2 linked regions of the Rattus norvegicus genome follow. The protein of the gene in region 2 interacts with the protein of the main gene of each other region in a pairwise test. Links are inferred from orthologs where the notes say so. Each region holds a gene or a part of one and is shown on either strand. Other genes may lie near its edges.

Region 1 (4,240 bases), on a different chromosome or scaffold from region 2:
ATAAAACATCATGCACACACACAATTTTGTTGTTACTGTTTCAAGACAAGGTTTCTCTGTGCAGTCCTGGATGTCTTGGAACTCTTTCTGTAGTCCAGGCTAGCCTTGAACTCAGAGATCTGCCTGCCTCTGCCCCTAAGCGATGGAATGAAAGGCATGCGCCACCACTGTCTGGCTGCTCCTGGATTTTCAAGTAGATTTATCTTGCACCCCAACTGCAGCTCAGATACTACAAAAAGTCTGAAAACCAATGCCTGGCTACAAATTTTGCCATGCAAGAGAATCTCTATTGCTAAGATTTGATAATTGGGGGTTGGAGAAATGGCTTAGCAGTTAAGAGCACTGCTCATAACTGTCTATAACTCCAGTTCCAGGGGATCAGGCACTCTCACACAGACACAAACGCAGGAAAAACACCAATGCCCATAAGCAGCTAAGGATGTCCTCGAACAACTCCAAATGCTGGGATTAAAACAGAAGATCATCATCTCTCATACCAGAGAAATTCCCACTGGTTGTTCCCCAAGCCTCAAAAAAAGAAATACATTTAACTTTTTACTTAACTATGGCCAGTAAGATTCAAAGAAGCATATCTGGGGTTTTAGTTTGTTTCGTTTCTCCAAGGAGTGACAACCGAAACTACGAATTTTGCTCTGAATTATGCAATTCCAGTTTCTAAAAGATCTGCCTTCTGGGAAGGTGATGCTCCAGTTTTTGGTGCAATACTGATGCAAAGTCCTTTAGGATCAGCTACTAAGGGAAAATTTTTAAAAATCAAGGTAGGCCCAACTATGAGAGTCTGCAAGTTTGAAAACTTCTAAGTTAAAGACAATTAACATTTGACCTCTGCAGCTCAGTGGCTTTATCAATTGCAGAGCACTCGTATTCGCTATATCTCAACATCTCAACTGACTGCCCTAAGCAAAGAAAAAAAGAAATTCAAGGCAAACCAGAGGACCCTCAGGATTTCCTCTTCAGATCCCCAGTGGGATCAGGTCACTCAGTGAGCATGCAACTTTCCAAGGCTCACGGACCTGCAACTCTAGTCAGTGTTTTGGCCCGGGCACTTTATCAGAAAATGTTTACAATTTTATCAAGTGAATTTATAAATATCCTACTGAACTGGGAACTCCTAGCAAACATATCATGTCTTGTGATGTTTCTGGGGAAAAAAAAAAACCTGAATAAATACTTTTTACTCTTCAAAGAAACTAAAAACATTGATAAACGCTGTAAACAAAACATACAGTTACCTCCCGGCATGATGTACACACCTTAATCCCAGCACTGAAGAGGCAGAGGCGATAGGGTCTCTGTGAGTTGAGGCTTATCTATAGAGCCAATTCGAGGACAGAACTAAATAATTTGAGAGATCCTGACTCAAAGGGGTAAAAAAAAAAGATTTAGGCTGAGTTCATAATCCTAGCAGTTAGAAGACTGAGGCAGGAGGATCTCAAATTCAGTCAGTGTAGACTACATAGCAAGATTTCCTTCTCAAAACAGAAAACACAGGGTAGTGTTGAGGGTTCACTAGTAAAATACATGCTCATCATGTTCAAACTCCACCACCACCAAAAAAAAAATCTTTATTAATAATAATGTCACATATTATATGATGTTTATAATAACTACTATAAACATTAGCACCATACCAGGAGCAGGAAAGCACAAAATCTCCTATACGGCTGGACTGTTTAAGGCTAGTATGACCACTTGAACAACATAACCATTTCTTATCTCTAATCCACTTCTGAAAAATCACAGGATGCCCAAGCAGAACTGCGATCGTCTGTGCCGTTATCTTGCCCGTGGGATATTAGTGGATTTACTTCACGAGTCTCTCAATAATCTCATTTTATAGGTGGTGAAACACTCAAGGACTTAGAAAGGATTGAAGAGCAAACGCTCTCCCTCAATGGGACATTTCATGGTGTTTATGTCTCTCGGCAACACTCCCTCTGGTTGAGTTTGTGGCGCCAGCACTAGAACACAGTAAGGATGAACAGCCACAGGCCACAACAACTGGTCCTTCAGAACCGATTTAAATGGCATGGCTCAGACAGCCCTTGTGCAAACAGTGTACAAGGCGGTCCCGGCAGTTTTTACAGGGCAATTAAGTCACCTGGAGACCTGTGCTTTGGAGGTGATAGGTGACCTCCTGGTCCAGACCAACCGGCTACATCTACGGCTGAGTCTTGCACTCCGCACCACAGGTCACTCACTCATCAAGTCCCTAAAGGGATTCTAAGGGTTCTTGGCACCGAGGGGAGCCACTGAAGGCCGGACCAAGAAGGCCACCACGCCCCAGGCTCCTCTGGGACTTCAGGTAGGCTGGACTGCTGCACTAACTTCGACCCCGGAGTCACCTCCTCAAGAGTATTCGTGACGCTGGGAGGAGCTGTGCCCTACGGGAACACCAGAGGACTCAAGGGGATGGGGCTCAAAGGTCTTCTAGAGCGCGATGTCCGCAGTTTCGGGCTCACCTGACGCTCAAGGCCCGCTCGGTGCCCCCTCTCCGACCCCTAGTCTCCTGCTCGCTCGCCCGCTTCAGCCCGCTTCCGGCCAGCCCCCGCCCGATGTCCCCTCAGGCTGAGGGCGAGTCACCGAGAGAAAGCCGAGCAGAACTTTCGAAGAAGGCCTCCGCCAGGTTAGGACCTGGGAGGGGAGGACTGGGGACCGAGCGGGCCACTCACCCTCAGCCGCTCTGTAGGTCAGTCAGTCTCCGCGTCAGCGACTCCCTCCGCACCGTCGCAGCCGAGCCGGCGAGCGCGAGGACCGCAGGGCGGCAAGACGGCAGGACGGCAGGACGTGCGCACGCAGCGAGGGGCGGAGCCATAGGCCACGCCTCCAGACGCGCGGCAGCTAGCAGGAGGCTCCTGGCCAAGCTGACACTGCCTTCCAAGACTGCTTCGGGAGTGGTAACATTAACCCGAGAGGAAGGAAGCGTGTCAGTAAAAGCCAACTGTTTGTTGATCGAGAATCGGGGCTCGGGGCAGGAGAGATGGTTCAGCAGTTAAGAGCACTGACTGCTGGGCTGGAGAGATGGCTCAGTGGTTAAGAGCACTGACTGCTCTTCCAGAGGTTCTGAGTTCAATTCCCAGCAACCACATGGGATACAATGTCCTCTTCTTGTGTGTCTGATAGCTACGGTGTACTCAGATAAAAATAAATAAATCTTTAAAAAGAGAGAGAGAGAATCGGGGCTCAAGCCTGGAATCCTAGCACTCGGGGGAGGAGTGGGGGGACAGGGATGGGACTGAGGCAGGAGAATTCAAGAGCAACAGTGTGAGCATTTATCAAAAAGACAAAAACACAACAGGATTGGGGATGTAACTCATTGGAATACAATTATTAGATCCTTAACACTGCAAAAAGAAAAAAAGAAAAAAGAATGAACGCTTTGCAGTGACATCATTTTCTTGCTTATCCTCTTATATCTGTGCATGTATGTAGGAGCCAAGTTAACCACTTGGCACTTAACACACAAGCCCCTTGACAACTTGGCACATAACACGCGAGCCAGCCCTAGGAAGTTCCAGTACAAACGATCATCTTCACTCAGGTCTCTGTCCACCTCTGCTAACAGTCCCCTGTCTGTCTTCTGTGTGGACCTTGTTTGTGGGGACTAGAGATGTAGCTCGGAGTAAGTAATGCTAAGGATGAGGGGCCAATTCCATTCCCAGCACCTACGTTGGTTGTCTAGCAACTGCCTGTAACTCCAACCTCAGGGGATCTGACGCCCTCTTCTGGCCTCTGCTAGCACAGGCACATACCAACACTCAAGTGCGGCTAATTCAAAAATAAAACAGCTTTCTTCTTTCTTTTTCTTTTCTTCCTCCCTCCCTCCCTCCCTCGCTTCCCCCTCCCCTCCCTTCTTCCTTTAAGAACTCACTTAAGTAGCCTAGGCTGGCCTCTAGCGCAAGGTCCTCCTACATCACAATACCCTATCATCAAGCCCAACTAACAATTCCACTTCTGGGTAGCTATTCCTATATATTTGTATATTCTATATACTTTTATAGTGAAAATTTTACTTTCTTTAAAAACACAGAAAAGTTATGTGAATAGGGTTTTTTGTTTGTTTGTTTGTTTGTTTTTTATATATGAATGCTCTGCTGGACTTACACCCACATGCCAGAGGAGGGCATCAGATCCCCTTATAGATGGTTGTCACCCACCAACCGTATGGGTGCTGGGAATTGAACTCAGGACCTGTGGAAGAGCAGCCAGTGCTCTTAAC
Region 2 (4,477 bases):
TTTTTTCTTCTTTTTCTTTTTTCTTTTTTTCGGAGCTGGGGACCGAACCCAGGGCCTTATGCTTGCTAGGCAAGCGCTCTACCACTGAGCCAAATCCCCAACCCCGGTGGGTATCTTTCTTTGATCTACATTCTGCTAGCAATTTGGAAATTTTTATACACAAAAAAAAATAATAATTAAAATGTAAACCTAAGATCCAGTCAAAATTTTTTTTACACTGGGCCCCAACAAAAAGGCCCAACTTTGTTCCAGATTTTCATTTATATAGCCATTAACCCAGTGGCTCAAAACTGCTTAATTTTCCATGCAGAAACCATTTCAATACACAGATCTCTTTGGCATATCGTCCCAGGAGATTATTAAGCTAAATCTGGACTTCTTTTCAGGCCACTTTTGCTGTGATGGTCCATTTGCAGACTCTGGCAGCCAAGCAAGGACCATAAGGATCATTTGATGTGAAGTAGGACAGCAGAGAGAGAACGGTCCAAGTATCAAGGAATAAATGAGAGCAAGTAGGGAAGGAAATTTTCCACTTTGCAAAGCTTTTTTATCTTTCTTCTTTCCTCCTCCTCCTCCTCCTCCTCCTCCTCCTCCTCCTCCTCCTCCTCCTCCTCCTCCTCCTCCTCCTCTTCCTCCTCTTCCTTCTCCTCCCGCCTTCTTCTTCTTTCCCCCCTCCCCCTCCCCCTCCTTTTCAAGGGACGGTGGTTTTGAAGAGAGTGATAATGGGAAAGGTCTCACCATTTCGAAGTTCACCACAGGATTCCATACCTAACAATTGTGCCCCAAATAATCATTTCCAGACTGTCTGTAATATTTGCCCGTATCTAGGAATTTTCCATTCACTGTCTTTCATCTGTTAATACAAAAAAAAAAAAAAAACCTCATAAAAGGGTAGAACCGAATCAAGCTCTAAAGTATATTCAGCTGGGCTCTCTCCCAACTGCGAGTCATCTGCCCAACTCAACTTGCCTTAGTTTACTTCAGTTCTACCTCAGCTTGCTTCAGTACATCTCAGTTTAACATCCTTACCTGAGTTTACCTTAGTTAAGTCAGTATAACTCAGTTTACCTCATTTTATCTTGGTAAATGGTAACTCGCTTTAACCTCATCTTTCCTCAGTGTACCTCTGCTTGTGTCCGTTTGTCTCTGCTTAATTAGGTATAATCTCGGTTTGCCTCAGTTTGACTGCGTAATTCAGGTAAACCTCAGCTCGCCTCAGTTTACCTTAGCCTGCCTCTGCTTAATTAGGTTTGATCTCAGTTTGCCTCAGTTTACCTCATCTCATTTCAGTACACCTGTTTAATTCCGCTTGCCTCCGTTTATTTCAACTTTCTTTCGTTTACTTCAGTTTACCTCAGCTTTCTTTATCTCACCTCAGTGTGCTTCAGGCTACTTCCTCTTACCTTAGCTTGCCTCAACTTGACTCGGTTTAACCCCGGCTCGCCTCAGTTTACCTCAGCTTGCCTCCGCCGGGCTTTGAACCAGCCGGCACCTCATTGGCCGCTTCCTCCTCCCAGCCCCGCCCCGCGTTCCGCCTGGTTTCCGTCGCGAAGGACGCGGCGTCGGTTGGTTGTCAAGATGGCTGCGGCGGGGTCGCGGCCGCTACCTCCGCCGTCGCCCCGCGAGGTCGCCTCCCTCGCCGCTGCCATCGCCACAGTCGCCGGGGCCGCTGCGAAGCTAGGACTGCTGCAGCCGAGCCTGCGACGCCCGTGACGCGGGGCCTTGGAGACGCGCGGCCCGGAGCGCCGAGGAGAGGACCAGGAAGGCCGAGCGGCCATGCGGGCGGCACTTAGGTGAAGGATGCTGGCGGGCAGGCCCGGAGCCCAGAGCGCAGGCGCGGGCCTGGGCGCCGGACCCCGGGACGCGCTTGGCGCCCGGGACAGCGGCGGGCGACCGCGACCCGGCGCCTACCTGTATCCTTTCCACGCCCTTCCCCCTCCCCGCTCCGGGAGCACGCACGCAGGGGCATGAAAACTGGCAAGTCATTTTCAGTGCGGATATTTGCTTTAGCAGCTGTCACCCACCCTACCCTACTCCACCCCCGACCTGAAGTTACACTTGGTCGACTTTTGTTTGTGACCTCTTTCCCCGGCTTCGCACACCCTTACTTGGACTTGGCTGTCAGATTTTTGTAGATTTTAAAATACACCGGTCCTGTATTGGATGAGCGAAGATTCGCGTTTTAGAATTACAGCGTTTTTACCCTTTACTTACAGAGACGTAAGTCTTATTCAGGCTCCTTAGAAAGAAAAATTGCCCAGAGGCTAAAATCTTGGGCTGTTCCGTTTTAGTTGTTAGCCGCACACCCCTCCTAGGGCTGCAGAACCCTAGCGTGTTGTGATCATTTTGTCTTCAATTCTGCCCACTCTTGTCAAACAGAGGAAGGGAAGAAAGCAGGGGACCTGAACCTTGATAATCTGGATTATTTCTGATTTTTTCCCTAAGAAATCGTTGAACTCCCATTTGATGTTACTGTTGGTAACATTGTGAAAATGACAATAAGCTTTTTTTTTTTAAGTACATAAAGCAGTTTTTTTTTCTTCCAGAGAACATTATTATATTAGAATTTACCCTTGGTATTCTCAGAAGACTGGCTGGTGGTGAGGATGATGTTTGCTCAACTGTTTTTCTCAGGAAATGGAGTCCCTTCTCTTTCCTCAAACGTGGGTCCCTTCCACCACTACCACCCTCCCTCCACTTCCTTAGCCCCTTAGTCCCACCTCTGCTAGGATATGCTCTTACAGTTTTAACAGCAAATCATCAGTTTTCACCGAGGGTCTCCTCTCCCGCTGACCTTCCTCTGGGTTCTAAGGATGCAGGTATGTTAGGGTTCCATTAATGCCAAAACACTCTGTCCCCAGGGACTCATCCCCAAGCTTCTATCCCTGGGTCTTTCTTCATTCTTCCGGACAGTAGCCTGCAGTAGCAGCTGCTAGCTCTTGTCTTCTTGTCTTGCCTTTTCCTCTTGCTGCTGCCACAAACTGTCTTCTCAGAGTGTGCTCTAGAGTGAATGCTACTGTCTTTTGAATTCAACTCTTCATTTTTGACGTTGTTTTGGTTGGTTAGTTGGTTTGGTTTGAGGGGTGTGTGTGTGTATCCCTGGCTGTCCCAGAACTTGATCTGTAGACCAGGCTGGACTTGAATTCATAGAGATGCTTGCCTCTACTTCTGGAGTGCTGGGATTAAAGGCACTGTATCTTCTTATACACTGAATGAACTCTTACTACCTTGTCCTAATTTGTCTCTAAATCAGGATACAAGGAAATGGCTCGTTGACAAAGCATTGATCTTCTATTATTTTCATTAATGATACCATTTTTAATTTATGTGATAAGAACATTGAACAGAGCAAGTAGGAGTAAGGAGACAAAATTTATAAGTACCGCTGTAGTTAAGTTCTAAGAGACTGAGAGAGTTTTTAAGTGGAGGCAGTAGGAAGAGGTTTGACTAGATCTGGCAAGGAGAATACATTGTATGATAGTTACTTGTGTTGATAACCTAATTGGAGAAAGACTAAATGAGGACATAAATGACCATAGTATTCTTTATTTTGTAATGTTAGCTATATAAAAATTATATTTCTTTACAGTAGATGTTAGGGTGAGTTGTTTTGATAATACATACAAAAATATTAAGCATCTATGTAAAAACTTAACTTCAATACCATTCGTCAGATGCTGGGCAGAAACATTCTTTATGTGTAATAAGCAAGATCATAATATAGTACTATATATGCTATATAGTATATATGCTAATACAGGAACTAGAGTTTATATGTAGTAGGGTTGTCTAGATAATTTAGAAATATATACATGTCAGGACATTACACTTGTAATCTTTCTGTATGTTCTTGGGATAAAATTTAAACATATTGAAGAAAATAGTTCTCATGTGATGCATTGTCCCCTGTCCTTGTCATTTGATCCAAAGTAACTTAAGCTTGTCTTTCCTACAGTGTTCTCCTGAAAGGAGAAAGCTGTATTTTTCTCTACTGATGACTTGTGACTTTGAAAAGCTAACCATCTTCTTGAAGTCTGACCCTAATAAAGCTTTCAACTAGAGAAGAAAAAGATATAGCTAAACTTGGTTCTATACTGTTCAAAACCATATTTCCTCCCCTTTTAACATGTTTACAAATCCTTCAGAAAACACCTTTAAAAACATGTGTGTCTTTGAGTTCATATTGATGTGGTACTGAATTCTAGTTGAAATGAAGGCAAAATGAACTCTAGCCTGTGGAGGAAGAAACTTTATAAAAATGACAAAACTGTTAAAAAACAAGCTCCCTTGGTAAGGCTCAGATAAGAGTTCATATACATTTGATTATTCTGAAATAGATAATAGTTTCTTTATAATATTGACACAAAAATACTATAAGCCCTTGAAATTAACACATTTTGACAAATGTGTTAATCATAATCATAATACCCTAACATTACTGTAAGTATTTGTTTTAAGTCTACATTATCCAAACCAA

What was found. The genes of interacting proteins can lie anywhere in the genome.
Region 1: the proteins of Cep126 (region 2) and Hmox2 interact in a two-hybrid assay, tested with the Homo sapiens proteins (2 studies listed by BioGRID and IntAct). The link is inferred for Rattus norvegicus from reciprocal best matches to the Homo sapiens genes CEP126 and HMOX2.

What each region holds. Positions count from the first base shown.
Region 1 is NC_086028.1:11,334,813-11,339,052, forward strand, and holds the start of Hmox2 (heme oxygenase 2), read right to left. Parts: upstream 2,801-4,240; 5' UTR 2,694-2,800; exon of another isoform or gene 2,484-2,693; intron 1-2,483.
Region 2 is NC_086026.1:13,549,306-13,553,782, reverse strand, and holds the start of Cep126 (centrosomal protein 126), read left to right. Parts: upstream 1-1,561; 5' UTR 1,562-1,800; coding exon 1,801-1,913; intron 1,914-4,477. UniProt on the Homo sapiens protein: Participates in cytokinesis. Necessary for microtubules and mitotic spindle organization. Involved in primary cilium formation.